Linked DNA regions of Caenorhabditis elegans. The protein of the gene in region 1 purifies or fractionates together with the protein of each later gene. This does not show direct contact. Each region holds a gene or a part of one and is shown in the gene's direction. Other genes may lie near its edges. The genes, in order: odr-4, odr-10 and odr-8.

Evidence for each region.
Region 2: the proteins of odr-4 (region 1) and odr-10 purify together in Caenorhabditis elegans (affinity purification with western blotting, with the first as the bait; one study listed by BioGRID). This does not show direct contact.
Region 3: the proteins of odr-4 (region 1) and odr-8 purify together in Caenorhabditis elegans (affinity purification with western blotting, with the first as the bait; one study listed by BioGRID). This does not show direct contact.

Annotation. Positions count from the first base shown.
Region 1 is NC_003281.10:6,728,469-6,734,897, forward strand, and holds odr-4 (Odorant response abnormal protein 4), read left to right. Parts: upstream 1-2,331; 5' UTR 2,332-2,765; coding exon 2,766-2,850; intron 2,851-3,185; exon of another isoform or gene 3,186-3,280; intron 3,281-3,694; coding exon 3,695-3,891; intron 3,892-3,940; coding exon 3,941-4,171; intron 4,172-4,310; coding exon 4,311-4,662; intron 4,663-4,710; coding exon of another isoform or gene 4,711-4,716; coding exon 4,717-4,875; intron 4,876-4,928; coding exon 4,929-5,132; intron 5,133-5,178; coding exon 5,179-5,378; 3' UTR 5,379-5,468; downstream 5,469-6,429. Other genes in the region: Y102E9.5 (uncharacterized protein), read right to left, coding at 192-263, 309-455, 508-612, 1,605-1,702; Y102E9.3 (HMA domain-containing protein), read right to left, coding at 5,524-5,620, 5,778-6,052. UniProt on the Caenorhabditis elegans protein: Required, with oct-8, for the localization of a subset of 7 transmembrane domain odorant receptors, including odr-10, to the cilia of olfactory neurons AWA and AWC.
Region 2 is NC_003284.9:6,863,538-6,868,279, reverse strand, and holds odr-10 (Serpentine receptor class r-10), read left to right. Parts: upstream 1-2,340; 5' UTR 2,341-2,344; coding exon 2,345-2,539; intron 2,540-2,586; coding exon 2,587-2,750; intron 2,751-2,996; coding exon 2,997-3,131; intron 3,132-3,173; coding exon 3,174-3,240; intron 3,241-3,282; coding exon 3,283-3,357; intron 3,358-3,401; coding exon 3,402-3,527; intron 3,528-3,571; coding exon 3,572-3,749; intron 3,750-3,798; coding exon 3,799-3,878; 3' UTR 3,879-3,965; downstream 3,966-4,742. UniProt on the Caenorhabditis elegans protein: An odorant receptor which affects chemotaxis to the volatile odorant diacetyl. Specifies AWA neuronal cell fate via the odr-7 pathway.
Region 3 is NC_003282.8:6,579,032-6,585,059, reverse strand, and holds odr-8 (Ufm1-specific protease), read left to right. Parts: upstream 1-2,355; 5' UTR 2,356-2,399; coding exon 2,400-2,513; intron 2,514-2,669; coding exon 2,670-2,844; intron 2,845-2,888; coding exon 2,889-3,070; intron 3,071-3,121; coding exon 3,122-3,316; intron 3,317-3,361; coding exon 3,362-3,458; intron 3,459-3,504; coding exon 3,505-3,662; intron 3,663-3,709; coding exon 3,710-3,809; intron 3,810-3,856; coding exon 3,857-4,006; intron 4,007-4,281; coding exon 4,282-4,463; intron 4,464-4,508; coding exon 4,509-4,605; intron 4,606-4,650; coding exon 4,651-4,819; intron 4,820-4,869; coding exon 4,870-5,020; 3' UTR 5,021-5,224; downstream 5,225-6,028. Other genes in the region: F38A5.2 (TraB domain-containing protein), read left to right, coding at 1-151, 207-505, 561-686, 731-868, 914-1,228, 1,277-1,386, 1,915-1,915; C43G2.3 (uncharacterized protein), read right to left, coding at 5,700-5,847, 5,895-6,028. UniProt on the Caenorhabditis elegans protein: Thiol protease which recognizes and hydrolyzes the peptide bond at the C-terminal Gly of ufm-1, a ubiquitin-like modifier protein bound to a number of target proteins.

The DNA of each region.
Region 1 (6,429 bases):
AAATTTGCTCCGACTCTCCGATGTTCTGCACGCCAAGAAAGTTTTAAGGTTACTGTAGATTATATTTGTTAGGCACGCTTTGAAACCTATTTTTTTATTTTTCTGTGTTTTTTACATTAAACATTTTGTCTCAGAATACGTAGACCTACTACTTCATGTAAGAAGTATCTACAAAACTACAGTAACCTTACCTTAAAGGCGCATGACTTCTTTCAAAAGTATCAGTCGTGACGGGTTCTCGGAGTGTCGTTGCGAGCCAATCTCTGTTCGCATCATAATTACTAATTTTGGTAACAATGAAAAATTACCTGACAAATTTCTGAGCAACCGAGCTCAATTGATAATAAGATTTACATCCGGAGAAAGCGTGCATTCCGAGAATTGAGCAAAGTCTCTCTTGTTGACAAAAACAACTTTTTATCGTTCGATCCATTTTGTAGGATTGGTCGTAGAATCTTTAACAGTTCAAGTTATTAGGAAAACTAGTCGAAACCGGGTACGACTTACCGAATATATTTAGATTCGCATCCACCTCCACAGTTATATGGATTACAATCTCCATCGATTGGTCCTTTACACCATTGAGAATTATATTCATATCGTTTTGGTTTGCTGAAATTCAATGTGAACAACTACAGAAAATCAAGGGTAGCACAGTAACCTTAACAATGAAAAATTTAATCGAATGGATTAAAAATTTTAGTTTATCTTTTTGGACCGCACAAAAACTATGGAATAAACTAATGAAAAAGTAAGCAAGAATGCAAGCTACAGTAATCTTGAAGCCGCATCAGAAACTCTTTTCTATAAATGAATTTTCCGCGGTGGAACCCAAATTTCCATTTCCAGATATCTTGAGTGAATTCAAAGATCAAATAGTGTGTATTTGTAACCGAACCTCAGAATGACATCTCAAACATTTTACACTTTTTTCTACAAACTTACACTCATCCATCTCCTCCTATCCCCATTTTTTTCTCATCCTACCCCCCGACCTCTCTGAAGCAGTTTCCTACCACCGTAAATGTAACATTTTATTCGAAAATGATCACCATCTGGTTAATGGCAAAAGACCGCCCGCAGAGCATCGTAGAGCAATGCAAAAGAAAAGAGCAAAAAGCTGAGATTTGCTGCTCATTACGAGCTCGTTGAGTTGAGGATTTGGGGCCTCCGTCGCAAAAGCTGAAGCTATTTTGCTCGAAAAATCATGACTGATTGTGTTAATGGGTAGTTTTACGGTGATAAAACAGTTTTTTGGATTAGTGAGGTACCTTATTACGAGTGTAACTACAGTAAACCTTTCCTATTTGCCCAGTGGAACAAGGAGAAATTACTTTTTTTTTCGGCTATTTCATGATTTTGCCTACAGAAATTGAAGAAGTTGGCACCTACGCCGTTACTTGATGCGAGACTATACCTTACAATATTTTCTAAACTTCTTGCCAGTAAAAATATAATTGTTTTTGGAAAACTCAACATCTAATAGTAAGTGAAAGTTCTATAGATAAGATCAGAAATGAAGTAAGTAAGAAAAATGGCTCATTTCAGACCTGCTAAATTGGAAGAAACCATCCATAAAACCCATCAATCAAATGAACCAGTACCTGGATAAGCTGTTTGATGAGATATGTGTTCCGACAGAGCTGATCTGTTCAAAGATGACCAACAAAGTGACAAGTAGTGATGCGATTAATAATGTCATGATGTAGTAGATCAATTGATACTGATAAGAAGGTGGAGAATTGAAATAAGAAGGGGAGGTGGTCCAGTGGAAGGGAGAAGCTCTTGACAACTGACACTGGTCAGAAGAAACTCACGGGAAGAGACGATGGGAAACATTGGAAACAATTTCTTCAGTTTTTTGTTTTTTTCTCCGCGTCTCGTTGATTCTTATCTTGAAGCTCCACCCCAATAGATGATTTGGGAAGAATGGTTGGGTTGGGAAAAAGCTTCTGAAAAATATTCCCGTCGAAGTCAGATGTTTAAAGATGGAAAGACACTTTTAAATGAAACTCAATCATTTTGGATACAATTTCTCAGCTGGCGGTCGAACTGGAAACCAAGCTGGAAACCTTGGGAAAACAACCCTGTTACTTAATATATAAATAAATGAAGCCTAGAAAAAAATCGGTCATCAATCCAATTATTTTCCAGGAACCAAATACCTAAATTGTTTAGGAATTGAGTAATAAAATAAATATTTCTGTGACGTCACTATCTTAATCTGCCATTTCACTAAAAAAGTCTAAAACTAATTTCAGGGTTTGGTGTTTCTATGCCCGAAAAGACTTCATATTCCACCTGCCAATTTTCGCCTTGAAAACTTGTGCTCCAACACTCACAAAGACTTTTCCTCTCTGCCTGGTTCTTCAGCCATTTTTTAAATGTTGTTTTAATTTTTATTTATCAAGACTTGACTGATTGACAGTTAAAAAATTATAGTTGATAAAACAGGAAAAAGGTTTGTTCTATCGTCATATCAAAATTGTAATAGTCGGACGTTCAGGGAATTTATTATGATTCAGTGAAGGGTCCTAGGGTAAAATACAAATATTTTAGACAACAAAATTGGTAGATGAACTATAAAACTTCGATTATTTTTTTTTTTGCAAAAGTTTGCACAGTTTTATAGAAGAAAGTATTCAATTGTTGTTCTTTTGTTCGTCTATGTTCCGATTCTCAAAACATTTCGAAAATTCAATTTCGAAAAAAAAACACTCTTTCTCGATTAGAAGAATCTCGTGGTTTCAGATTCAAACATTGAAATGACTAGAAATAGAAGAAAGTCAAAGACTACAGCTACATCTCATCCAGAGTTGCATTTGGAAAAGGTGGACCCCATGAAAACAGGTAATTGAATATTTTTTAAAATTAAATTTTCAATATTTTCTAAATATTTATCAGATAATCTGCTGTTTTCACGAAATTGAGCATTCACGGTTATTGTTGACTTAGCTTTTAGTTAACTTATAAGTTGTTCCAAAAACTTTTGGAAATTGCCAATATTGGGGTCAGAAAGTGCGCTCTGTCGAACTGTCCAACAAAACAATTTTTAAGCGATTTCTGTTTTTTTTCCGTCTTTTTCTTTGAGTTTTCTTCTTTTTTTTTGCTAATTTTCAGCTATTTTACAAATAGAAAATTGTATTTCTTATTTATATTCATAAAATACAACTTTTGATTCCTAGAAATAAGTAAGGGAGTAAAATAAAACGAAGAAAGTACGATGTTCCAATTAAATCCGACTCTTCGCAGCTGTCATTATTGAAATTTGTTTTTCAACGTAAGCGATCTCTCTTTTAACTTTCAGAAAATAAATTTAAACTCTGAAGTTTAGCAAAAACGCCTATATTTAACACGCGTGCCCACTTTACCCGTTAGATGCCTTCGCACAAAAACTAATTTCACGATTACATCTTATTTTCTCGCTCGCGGCGCTCCTCCGGCCGAGCTGGGGGTGTGCATGTTACCTGAGGAGACCGCCTTTTTCTCAATTTCTTGGGTATTCATCGTCATGGTAACCCTCTTTTTGTTTGCCACAGCAGCAGTTGGCTTATCATCCACCTCCTCTGTATACTTTTCAATCAACGTCTCCACATGTATTCTGCATAGCCTTCATACTATATTGACTCGCTAAAGTATTGTCCAAAAACTAACTATCATCTACAAAAAATGACATCAACACTTGCAATTCCAGTTACAGAATCCATGATTCTGTTTGACGTCCAACTCCAGGAATGGGTGACCAAGTCAGCGAAGAATCACGAATTTGTTTTATCCGATAAAGGAATTCCGGCGTCAGCCTACTTTTTGCTCGGATCATTCTGCTCGGATGGTGACATCCACGTGGCATATGCTTCCAAATGTCCGGTTCATAGCAGTGCATTGGAAGAGGTAAAGGATTTTACTATATCACAATTTTCATAATAGTAATTATTTTCAGAATGCTACAGAATCATCAAAGATGCTGGAAGACGAATGGATGTCAGATCACGCAGAACGTCTTCTCCGAATGCTTCCCGGTGGAATTCATGTGGTTGGAATTGCCTGGTTCTCAGATAAGAAGACTTTCTCAGATCGGAAATCACATATTCACAAGACATTGGGTCGTATTCAGAAAATGAATAATCAAATCACAACGGCTAATGTGGATGACTCGATTTCGGATAATATGGTAGGTATCTCAAAATTAGAAAAATTTGCAATGTATATTTTATTTTTCTGGGAAAACAATTATTGTAAAAACTAATAGTTCCTTTCAGATATTGCCAATCCTTTCTTTTCAAAAATCAGTAATATTCTTTCACTTTCAGATCACAGTGTTCTTCGAGACCCCATCCACCACCCCCATCGGTGCCATAATTGATGTGACCAATCGTGGCAACGATAGTGCCCAAAAAGTTCAATTTCAAAAACTTGAATGGATTTCTTTGGTGACAAACGCATCTGCTCGAATTGTGCACAATGTTCCAGTTGACACAGGACGCCCAACTGACTTCTACTCTGACTTGGTAGTCGCCACGAAAAACTTTGTGAATAATTTATTCCAATGTGAATTTACACTTCTTGATGGTGAGATCCGTGATGATAAGGAGCCACTGATCAAAGATATCAAGAAGAATAAAAAGACAACGATTGAGGCACAATTGTTCTTGAATCCTCTTTGTATGTTTTTTTCTGTTTTATTTGACTATGAGACCAATCGTCAAAAAGTTCTAGATAACCGAGAGCTCGGAGCTATCGATGATATTGCGTCCAACATGCACGAAGTTCTTTTTGACATTGAAGTTCGCGCAGCTGTTCCAATCAGATCAACAGTGAAGGACGCAATCCGAGCAATCAAGCATCATTTAGTCAGGAATCTGTTTGCAAGAGTTGGTTAGTTGAAAACAATTTTTTTGAGTTTTTAATGTTCAAAATATCTATTTCAGAACTTCACTACGAATCGATGGAAGTTGTTGAAGAGGAACGATCACCAAAAACTGGAATCACCGTCCATCAACTACCTCGTCCAGCTACTACAGTACTCTACACACATCCAGCAATTCTCATCAATGATTTCCTCTTTGAGGCTGATAATGTAGAAGATGCACAGAAGAATTTTGATGACATGATGGATTTACAGACAAGCATTGGTACAAAACATCTTTTATTCTTCGAATTTCGACTAACAAATTTCAGAACACGTGGATGAAGGCTGGGAACGCGCGCTGACACCAGAAGAGATGGAAGCTGTGCGAACACCGATTGAGGATCTTCATTTCGTTGACTTCGATGGATCAAGCGATTCATGGTGCACAACGAAAACCATACTGATTACTATTGCATTGATTATCGGACTCTTGGCATCCATTATTTATTTCACTGTAGCACATTCCTGAGCTAGTTTTCCCCGAGCATTATGACGTAATTTTGCATATTTTCCAAGTATTTATATATTTTTTCTCTGTGATAAAATACTTCATTTAAATAATCGAATAAGTTAAATCGCATAATATTAAGTATCGAGAATTCGCGTGAAAGATCTTATGGTTTAATATTCGTAGAGATCTCCCCATCACACAACATTGCGTATGCATTTAAAACCACTGGTGTACCTGCATTCAAGACTTCTTCCGCCAATCTGGAATGAAATTTGTGTATACAACAGATTTCGCACAAAACCGCATTTATCAGTATCCATTTGATATAGATACGATTTTCTTTATTATATACTATACATAGGAACTTTTTAAAACCTCCCATTGAAGTATGTTTTTTTTTTTGGAAAAATAACTTACTTCATAGCGGTCACGCATGAAACAGCAGTTAGTGTAACCTTGATTGATTTTTTATCGATTGGCTCTCCTGTGGCGTGCACATCTGGGTGGCTAGTCCTAATTGCGTTAAGGATTTCATCTTTAGTGGTCGTCGAAGTCTCGAGCTTATGAAAAGTAATTGTGACAGTACTTGGAACATCGGATTGAGGAGTGCTGTGCTGAGTCACTGGTGCACACATTTCGGCAGCTCCAGCAAAAGTTACAAGAAGCAAAGAAATAGAAATTAGAGCAGTCATGTTTTTTTTTCAGAAATAGGCAATAAATTGACTGACTCTTCCCACGAAACGCCATCTTTTTATACCGTACTATTTGTGGACCTACATATTTTTTTGGTGTTTATAGAAGAATCATAAGATGTCTCTGTTTGATAATCTCGTCTCTGTTTTGATGTCTCTGTTTGATAATCTCGAAAAGACCAAAAGAACAAACTATACAACTATTGATACTACAATAGTTTTTTATTCAGCTTCATACTTTAATGGGAAGCTTCATGTATACTCATGATCTACTGTATTATTAGTACAACATTTAGTACAGTGAAGTTTGGTCAGTGGAAATGCTTTTAGTTTGATCAATAGAGAAATTGTAAGTATAAAAAGAAAACTCGGAGAAA
Region 2 (4,742 bases), on another chromosome or scaffold:
ATCAAATTCTAATTTGGGCGCCACGCGCCCAAATCCCCATTATTTATCACATTTATCACGTCCTATACCACACTAAATCCCAAACAATAAACCCGTAATACCATATAACGCGAGTTTAACATTTTAGAGCGGAGTTTGATCGGGGAAAACTAATTCTCGGAGAGCGAAGCGAAACTAGAATAACTTTTCTTAACCAATACATATTCTACTGTCTATTAATGTGTTTTCTATAGTTTTATTTTCAATAACGTTTATGAAAAAAGGAAAGACACTGTGTCAGTACTACTTTCGTTAAATCTTCACGGTTTGTGCAGATGTCCCTAACATGTTGTCGTCATACACAGGGAATTGAACCAGTGGGTGCCGGCACGCTAATCGAACGCGCTAACCGCAAGGCCACCAGTGTCAAGAGTTTATAATGCGAACCTTTTGTTCATATTCTTCGACACTTCAGTAGTCCCTTGAAAATTTCAATTAAAGGATATTAAGCAGTTTTTTGAAAGGTTGGGTAACTGTAATTTTTGTAAATACCTATACCAATGAATAAATGATGTTTCATTACAGAAAACCGCTAGATCTATACTTTCCAAGTATCAAGTACAGAATTACATCTGACAAGGGAAGTATTTCAACTTAATCCCGGACTTCTGAATGAAACCTATGTCATTTCGAAGAAGACTCTTTAAGTAGGTCCCTACAAAACAATTAGCGGCAGAGGAGCACTTTGACCTGGCAAAATATCGCTCTGAAAACTTTTCAGTGCATTTTTTCACAACTTTCAAGGCCCGTAGAATGGCTCCAAATGTGAATTTTTGTAGATTTTTGATAATTTCTAGGATGCTCAGGGGCCGGAGAGCACTCGGAATTTTTTTGGAATTTTTTAAACTTTTCGAAAAAATCTGAAATTTTTTGAATAAGTCCATGACAAAATTTTTCAGTGAATATAATTTTTTTTTTAAATTCAGAAAAGTTGTCAAAGTTATTTAATATCAAAATTGGGTGTTTTTACACAATGAAAAAATTTTTGAGATTTTTCGGAGTTGCAAAAACAAATTTTGGAAAAAATCGGCACCCGGAGTCGAACCCCAGACTTAAGAAATATTAATCAAACTCGCTAACCACTCGGTCATTCGATGACACTTTTTTTGTAAATGAAATAAATGACAAAAACCAGAAAACGTGACACTTTGATATCTACTTAAATATATAGGGACGTGCGAAATAGCATTGGAAAATGAGAGGACGCAGAGAAAAATTTTCAGAGCGACTTTTTTCCAGTTCAAAGTGCTCCTCTGCCGCTACATTTTTTGGAGGGGCCTACTTAAAGAAGGAGTATCGTCAATGGGAAAATTGTTTTAAAATGTAGTATTTGTACTCAAACTTTCAATTATCGCAAAAGAAAAACGGAAAAAATCCGTTAACATTCAGCATTTAGCCGTTGAAATCGACGAAAGTGGCTGAAAGTGGCTGAATTTGAATTTCGCGCGCAAATGAATCCTAGGCCACCACGCAACTTTTAGGCCATATTCGTAAACAAAATATTGATTTAAATGTAATTTTTCGAACTTTAATTCGCTTTTCTTTCTGGAAAAGTTCAAGAAAACTGGGAAGAAGAAATTGTATTGAGTATTTTTTCAAAGGACAATACCAAAACAAATAAAAATTCGAAAGATCGTCGTGGCCTAGGATTTCTGTAGTTAATTTTTAAAGATTTTTTCGACTTAAAATGCTGAATCTAAGCGGATTCTCCCGTTTTTGTTTTGTAATATTCTTAAGTTTGAGCACGAATACTACATTTTAAAACAATTTTCCCATTGACGATACTCCTTCTTTAAAGGGTCTTCTTCAAAATGGCATAGGTTTCATTCAGAAGTCCGGGATTATGTTGAAATGCTTCCCTTGTGAGTAGGCAGTAAATACATCCAATTTCACATAATCGAAGAGAGATCATTCATTTAGGATACATTGTGTTGTGATTCATGACATTTACTACAACACAACCAGCTGATGTGTGTGATTCAGGTTTTAATTGTAGCATCTTGTGATTGGAATAATAAATTCAATATATTTTCCCAATTCTGAATTTGTGGATACAAACGTATTATTTTTAACTGAATACCTCGTGAAATCAGATTTCAGATTTTGAAAACAATATATCTGACTATAAGTTGCGTATGTAGACAAATTCCAGGAAAATAATGGCTCAAACGACACGCCCCTGGCTTCAAGTTACTATAAAATAGGTTAGGAACAAAGCACATATAACCATGTATTCAGTTTAATTAATTTTTTGTTGGCGGTGGCATGAAATTCTCATAATTTCATTAAGATACCTTACAGCTCCATGTCGGGAGAATTGTGGATTACCCTAGTTGACACAGCGGACATTGTCGGCGTCACCCTCACCTTCTGTGTCAACATTGTTCTTCTCGGACTTCTGAAAACACGTGGAAAAAACTTGGGCACTTATAAATATCTCATGGCGTTTTTCTCAGTATTCTCGATTTTTTACGCCATCATCGAGTTCATATTACGACCTGTAGGCTAAACTGTTGAACTTGAAGTTAATAATGTATTAAATTTCAGATAATGCATATTGAGAACACCACTTTCTTTTTGATCTCAAGGAAAAGATTCAACTACTCCACCAAACTTGGAAAAATCAACTCTGCGTTTTACTGTGCTTGTTTTGCCACCAGTTTTGTTGTCTCAGGAGTTCACTTTGTTTATCGATATTTTGCAACTTGCAAGTAAGTACAATTGTAAAACGGGCTAAGTTTCGTATTTCTTTTGTTAGTATTGCTCTATTAGTACAGTATCCAATAGGAACAGCATTATAAATAAACTGCAAATGATCGGTTGAAAAAATGACTTGTGGAACCTTGCTGTAAAGGTGCAGCACTAATGTAGGATGCAAAACTTGTAGGGGTGGACTATTAGCTCTCTATTATTAGTATACATACTTTTAGATTAAAATACTATAACACCCTTCACAGACCGAATCTACTTCGTTTGTTCAACTTGCCAACTCTTCTACTTTGGCCACTTGGTTGCAGTGTACCCGTGACAATGTGGGCTAGTGTCTCATATTTTTTGTATCCAGATACCGAGTACACGGAAGCGGCTGTCACGTATGAGATCTATGAATTGTAGCTAGGAATTTTTTTTTTCAGCAATGTACTAAATAACCACTATAACTGGATCAAAAAGGAGAATGTATCGTACATTGCATACGTCTATGTAAGTTGATAACACGGAAACCATCAAACTAGATACTTTCAGTACCAATACGAAAACGGAGTAAGGCATATCTACCTCAAAAACTTGCTTGGATGCTTTGTTCATTACTTTGTCATGGTAAGCGGAGATGTTCCTAACATAGTTATTCAACAAGGTTTTAGTCGATGACGTTTGTTGTGATGTTCTACTGCGGATATGCCACGTGGAAAACTATGAATGAACACAAGGATGTATCTGATAGAACTCGAGCGCTACAGAAACAACTTTTCAAAGCTTTAGTTCTTCAGGTATCCCGATCTGAAACTAGAAACATGGTATAAGATGAATTCAGACACTCATCCCAACTATCTTCATGTACGCCCCAACTGGAGTCATGTTCATCGCACCGTTTTTTGACGTGAATTTGAATGCAAACGCCAATTTCATTGTGTTTTGCTCATTTCTGTACCCGGGACTCGATCCACTCATTCTGATTTTGATCATTCGTGATTTCCGAAGAACAATATTCAGTAAGAAGAAAACATATATATTACAAATTGACAAATTGCAAAATTTCAGATTTCTTGTGTGGAAAGAAAAACAGTGTTGATGAATCCCGCTCGACAACAAGAGCCAATTTGTCTCAAGTTCCGACGTGATGAATGTTTTTTGAAATACTGAGAATCGCACAATTGAGAAATTTTAATTTCATTGGACTTGTCATGAGAATGAAGTCATGTTATACAGTTTCAGGATTAAAAAGGATTAAAGGACGATCCGTTCTTCAAGTGCTATGCACTGCGGATCTGGGATTCAGGTACACTGCCTGGTGGTGATCCCTCTAAAAAAAACTTTTACTATATTTGGGCATTTTAGAACTAAAAGAGAAGTTAGAAGCAACTGACTTGTAGATAATGAAAAAGCTGAAAAAAGCTGAAAATCTATAAAAAGAGAACAAATTAGTCTGCTTTCGGTATGTTACCTGCTTATGATCTATGCTTGGCTCAATTTCTGAAAAGTAATCAGACTCTCAGTTTTTTTTTACTTCATCAAGTTGACTACAACATTTAAAAGTAACATGTTTGATGATGGTCGTTTTTATATTAAAAAAAAGGAATGAAGAGATATAGAAAATTATTTGAAAGTGGTAATAAAAATTGAAAACTTAATTTTGATGCTTTTGTGGTGTACAAATTCTCCAACGCTTTAAATGGAAGTTGTTATTATAAAAATGATATTAACTTTTAGGAGCTGTTAGTACTAGAAAGTAGAAACTAGAAAGCACTAGAAAATTTGGCTGATGATACCTTTTTTGTACTTGGCTTCTAAACCAAAATTAAAAAATTAAGAAAGAAACAACAAAATATTTTTAAAACATTCACCATTAAATTTTTGATTGGAACATGGAGCAATTGAACATTGTACGTACAATACAGTAATCTAAACATTTGAACACAAACATTAGGATAGCGGTTTCTTGAATTTGACAAAAGGTATGAGGAATTGAAAAAAAAAACATGAAA
Region 3 (6,028 bases), on another chromosome or scaffold:
GAGCATGTTGGAGATGATGCCGAGTTGGATTATGAGCTGGAACAAGCTCCTGAAGCAACAGAAGATGGTGCAGTGGTGAACAATCCTGTTTGTGGAGGGTACCATTTCGGAAGGAAAAGAGCAGATGACTTCGTCCCAAATGCCAATACAGGTTTCTTAAAACTCCAGTTCGATGTAACACTGATATCTATATTCTATAATTACAGTAACAGTGCTCAAATGGCCTACAAATCTGGCGATTCCTCCACGCAACCCCGTGCTGAGCGATTCTGATGAAGAATGGAAGAAAGCGATTCTCGACTCCACCATTTATCTCATCGGTACAGCTCACTTTTCAAAAGAGTCGCAGGAAGACGTATCCAACACAATTCGTGCTGTGCAACCTGATTTTGTCATGCTTGAGCTGTGTCCATCACGAATTTCAATCATATCGATGGATGAGGCTCGGCTTTTGAGCGAAGCGAAAGATCTCAACTCTCAAAAAATTATTCAGACCATGAAACAAGTGAGTTCTCATATTTTTGTTGTTGTAATGTTGTAATATTTTCAACTTTTTTAAGAACGGCGCGATTCAAGGAATTCTGCACGTTCTTCTCCTGTCAATGTCAGCGCATGTAACACGTGAACTTTCCATGGCTCCCGGAGGAGAATTCCGTGCTGCTCATCGTGCAGCAGTTGCAACTGAGGTTTGAGTATTTAAAAAGTTTTATTTACAAAGTAACTATTTCAGAATTGTCGTGTAGTTCTCGGTGATCGTCCTATTCAAGTTACACTTCAACGTGCACTGGCTTCTCTCTCCATCTGGCAAAAAATTCGCTTCTTCTTCCACGTTGCATTTTCACATCGTGAGAAGATAACTGCAGAAGAGGTATTTAATTATTCAACCTTTTCCAAAAATATTCCAAAATTATAGGTGGAACGATGCAAGCAACGTGACCTTCTGGAGCAACTTCTCGCCGAGATGGCTGATGATTTCCCACAACTATCCCAAATCTTTGTGGAAGAGCGTGATGCCTACATGACGCATGCTTTGCATATGCTCGTACACCGGAACTCAGTCGAAAAACGTGCACAATGGCTTCGTGGAACAACTGGGCAACAATTTCAACCGTTGACAGTTGTTGCTGTCGTTGGAATCGGACATACTCCAGGAATTGTTAACAAATGGAATACAAATATTGATTTTGATCCACTTATGAACATCCCACCACCAAGCCTCGGAACAAAGGTAAATTAATCTGAAGTTATTTTAATTCTTTCATTTCTTTATTTCCAGGTTTTCTCCACTGGCGTCCGTATTGTTGTCTGGGGATCTTTGGGATATTTGGCTTATCGTGGAGGACGTGCTATCTTCAATCGTGTTAGCACATTCATAGAGTCTCGTTGGTAGGTTGGAAATTTTTGTTTAAAATTTAGTTTTGGGAATGTTGAAATTAAACGATGAAATTAAACGTGAATTTTGCAAAATCAAGGTCGCACAGAGAGAGGCAGCGCGTAGTTTTGCAAGCCTGTGGCATTGTTTTCCACCGTTTTTTGGTGGTTTTTTTTCGATAAGTTCTCAATTTTACTGGTTTCACTATTTTTTCTAATGAAAATGTTACCTAATTCAATTCTCATACGATTATGAGGAAATTTCATGTTAGATTTGTTGTAAAAACGAAGTATTCTCACAATCTTATGGGAATTGAATTAGATACATAATATTTTTATTCAAAAAAAAAGAAGGAAAAACCGTACCACAGGGATGAGAAATTACGCGAATTACCAACTCCCCATTCAAAGAATGAAATAATAGCAAACCTAATCTCATTTTCGTGCTTCTCCCGTCTTCTCTCGTTATTAGCTTTTCTGGTATCACCTGCTCCGCACAAGTTACCCATGACAACCAACCCACTAACTCGTATATCTTTTCAGAACAACTCATTGATTGAAGCGGGCACAACAGCATAGCAGCCGTCTACATTCGATCTACAGGCGTTTTCATCGTTATTTTGTTCTTTCCTAAAATGTTTATGTCTAATTATTGGACTTTTAATCGCTTTTTCTTGTAATGTGATACGATTTCTAGGGTGTAGATAGGTTGAGAATTGAAACAAAATTTTTCTTCTCCCATTTTTTTCTAAACTATCCTTTTCTGTTAAATGCCCAAACAAATTGCAATTTATTTATTAGTCCCACCCGCTTCTTCCGTTTATCGATTGATTTATTCTCGTTTTCTTTGTAAAATACACAAATAATTTAAATTATTCATCTCTCTATTGCAAAATCCCCTTCTACAAGTCCCCATATTCAGCTCGCTGGTCGTATAAATGACACATTTCAATATTATTCTCTCGTGATTCGTGGTAATATCCATAAACTATTATTATCTTTTGAAAGGTGATTGGAAGAGAAGAAGAATGACGAATTCTCAAACTGTCTCACTAATTGGACCAACTCAGATGGCTCCACAATCAACACCTCCACCTCCTGTGAATGAATTGTGGTTTATTGATGCGCAGGCAATGTTTCAGGTAATTTATGTGGAAATGAGCTATGAAAGTTTTAAGAAGTGCTGAAATTATTCGATTTTCTATACTAGTTGAAAAACGGAAAAAAACGAAATAAAATCTGAAAACACTCCAAAATCAGTCTTGCGAGATAAAAGATTTCACACGAAATATTTTAAGAATTACGCCAACCTCCGCTCGTTCTCCAAATCCAATGCCAACGAAATTAATACGACAATTGGCGGATTCGTTTTCGGACGTAAAGCTCGGAAACAGGTTATCCATGTGCTATTCGCCTACGCTGAAGATCTGACTGAATCGAACAGACAATTCTTGGAGAGCTCTCTGTCTGCTGGTAATTAATGGAATAATATTATTAAAAACTGAGATTTAATTCAGATATTGAACTGGTTGGAAACTTGAATATTGATGGACAATCACAGATTCTTCCTGGCGGGCAGTTCACCCTTCAGCTGACATCTCGAATGCTTGAAAATCGAAGTATCAGCGAATTTTTGGATATGAATGTGATGTTCAACAATGAACATGTTCTTATGGAAGGAGCTAGTTGTGTCAGCAGAGTACGTTCCCATAAGATCTTTAAATTATTGAATAAAAACGGTCCGTTTCAGGTTGGATACGAGTGGTCACTTCGAGCAGGTCGTGAACAAGAAGATGTCAAATCTGCTGCCGAACGTCTTTCAATGGCTTCTTTTCGTTTCACATATCTAAACGCTGAACACGGGTTGGTGATCCGTGAGCAGAAGCCAGAAGCTGCTCAACAGAAGTATCTTGATAAATTCTCGAAAGGCGCTGTACCATATAAGGTTTGGAAATACTGTCTAAAATTAATATGATTGACGGAATTTCAGGATGTTATCGAATTCACTGCCATGCAATCTCTCACTAGGGATACATCTAATGATACGGAAGATCAAAAGCTGGTTCCAACAGTTAAGGTTACCAAGGGTAAAGAATTTTGTTATTTTATAAAGATATTAAATTCGTAATTTAGATAACAAACATTTCACTCGGCTCGTCACAATTGGTGAGGTAGTTTTCCCAGCGTTCTTTGGAGATTCTTCACTGGATTTGTACAAACGATCACGTGAGGCATTCAATAGAAGAGCTAACAATACAATGATGGTTACAGTCAATGGAATAAGAGCTGGGGTAAAAATTGAAATGTAATATTTTTTATATCGATTGATATCTTGCAGCGCGGAGTAACAACGACCACATCTGCAACTTATCTTCCACCTGGATGGGTTTCTCTACTTCATCTCCAACTTCCAACTAAATGGACGGACAATGAACAAAGTATTCATAGAAAGCGTTTCAACTTCTATAAAAATTCAATTTTCTAGGAAATTACCGTATTCGTCTTCACAAGTTGTTCAACTTGCCATCATCTAAGCCAGTTCTTCGATTGTCTCAAGCGTTGGCTCTCCACTCAGAGAGTGCTCGTTTGACCAACAAGAAGCTCATTCGAGAGCCACATTTGTCTATAACAAATTGTATGTTTAAAAATGGAGTACCGAAATTTGAGGCATTGCTTTGTTGGACCCAAAACTACAGAATTTCGTAATGAGACATCAAATTTTGCCAACTTGACAGACCCGGAAATTGCGGAAGTTTGAATCATCAAGTTGTCAAAATTCGAGATTTTAGCTGAAAAAAAAACCGCATTAACTTTTTCTTTTGAGAAATTTTCAGAACGTTTCATAACGAAATGCGGAAGTTTTTGGCAATTTTGGGTCTAAACAAGCAAAGACTCAGAATTAATTTTCAGATCAACCAGTTGGTGAAATAACCACTGTAAATGGGCCGTACAATTATCATCATTACATGCAAGATGGAATTGATGATAGTGGATGGGGATGTGCATATCGTAGTTTCCAAACTATCTGGAGTTGGTTCATTTTGAATGGATATACTGATAAACCTGTGCCAAGTCATCGGGAAATTCAGCAGGTTGGCTTAAGCAGATTTCAATTGAAGTTGTTTTATTTGTTGCAGGCGCTTGTTGATATTCAAGACAAGCAAGCGAAGTTTGTTGGTTCACGACAGTGGATTGGTAGTACTGAAATCAGTTTTGTGCTCAATGAGCTACTCAGTAAGTAGTTGTTGAGTAATTGTATTTAATAGTTAAACATTTCAGAGTTAGAATGCCGTTTCATCGCTACCAACTCGGGCGCAGAAGTTGTCGAAAGAGTTCGTGAACTTGCTCGACATTTTGAAACATCTGGAACTCCTGTTATGATCGGAGGAAATATGCTTGCACATACTATTCTTGGAGTCGATTTCAATGATACCACTGGAGAGACTAAGTGAGTTTTTTTTTTTCAAATTGGAAGTATAGCAACACAATAATTTCCAGATTCCTCGTTCTTGATCCTCATTACACTGGCTCCGAAGATATCAAAACAATCACTTCAAAAGGATGGTGTGCATGGAAACCAGCGAGCTTCTGGAGCAAAGATCATTTCTACAATATGGTCCTTCCTCAACCGCCTAGCGATGCTATTTGAGTGACTTTGTATTACCATGCCTATGAAAAACAATGCATTATATATCTAAATTATTGCCAACCTTCTACCCATTTACATTGTAATTCCTATATTTTTTTAAACCTGGATTAGTCCTTTCTCGTCTGTGATTAATTTATTTCCTCTATAGAGAAATGCTTTCTATAGCCCAACCAACGTTTTTTGGGAATAAAAAATTGGTCAAAAGTTGAGTACAAGTCAAGCATGGCGATCTAGAAACATCGAATTACCAATTGTTGGTTCTTCAAAAATTTCATTTTATTAACCATACGCAACTTTTGCGGGTTGTTGAGCTAAAAGAACTGTGCCCGGTTTTCCTTAAATGCAAATGGTACGCGCCTTTAACCGAGGACTGTAATTCCAAACTTTCGTTACTGCGGAATTTTTCATTCGATTAAAAAAACACTTTCTATTTATTAATAGTTAAATTTTATCAAATCGGAAGAAATGTTATATTATGAAAAATAAATGAAAATTCGGCAGCAAAAAAATTTTGAAATTACAGTACTTTTTCAACGCTCGAAAATTTGTCGTATCGAGACCATGTAACGTATTCTTGCGCAAAAATTGAAAGGTATTGTTTTGAACGAAAATTGTACACAATTCAATCCAACGAATTCATTTTTCAGTCATTTTATTCACAAAACATAAATCCATCAAATTAAATTGCTTCGCCCAATTGATCCGGTTCGAAATACATTCGTGCCCACTGGGTTAGTTGTCCTCCGAGTGGTTCAGAAACATAGATACCATGATCAGCAATCAATTCTTTAGGCCACGATTTGAAGCAAGTTTGGAAATCTTGATTTCTAAAAAGCAAATTGTTAAGTATTTCAAACGGCTTCCTAACACTCACATATTCTTACTTAGGCCATTGACGATGATTTTCTCAATAGCAATATGCTGGCTGGGATCAAACTTTTGATCTTTCAAGTTATCCAAACTGATGAATCGACCCATTTGCATTGTATCCGCTTTGTAACGGTAATC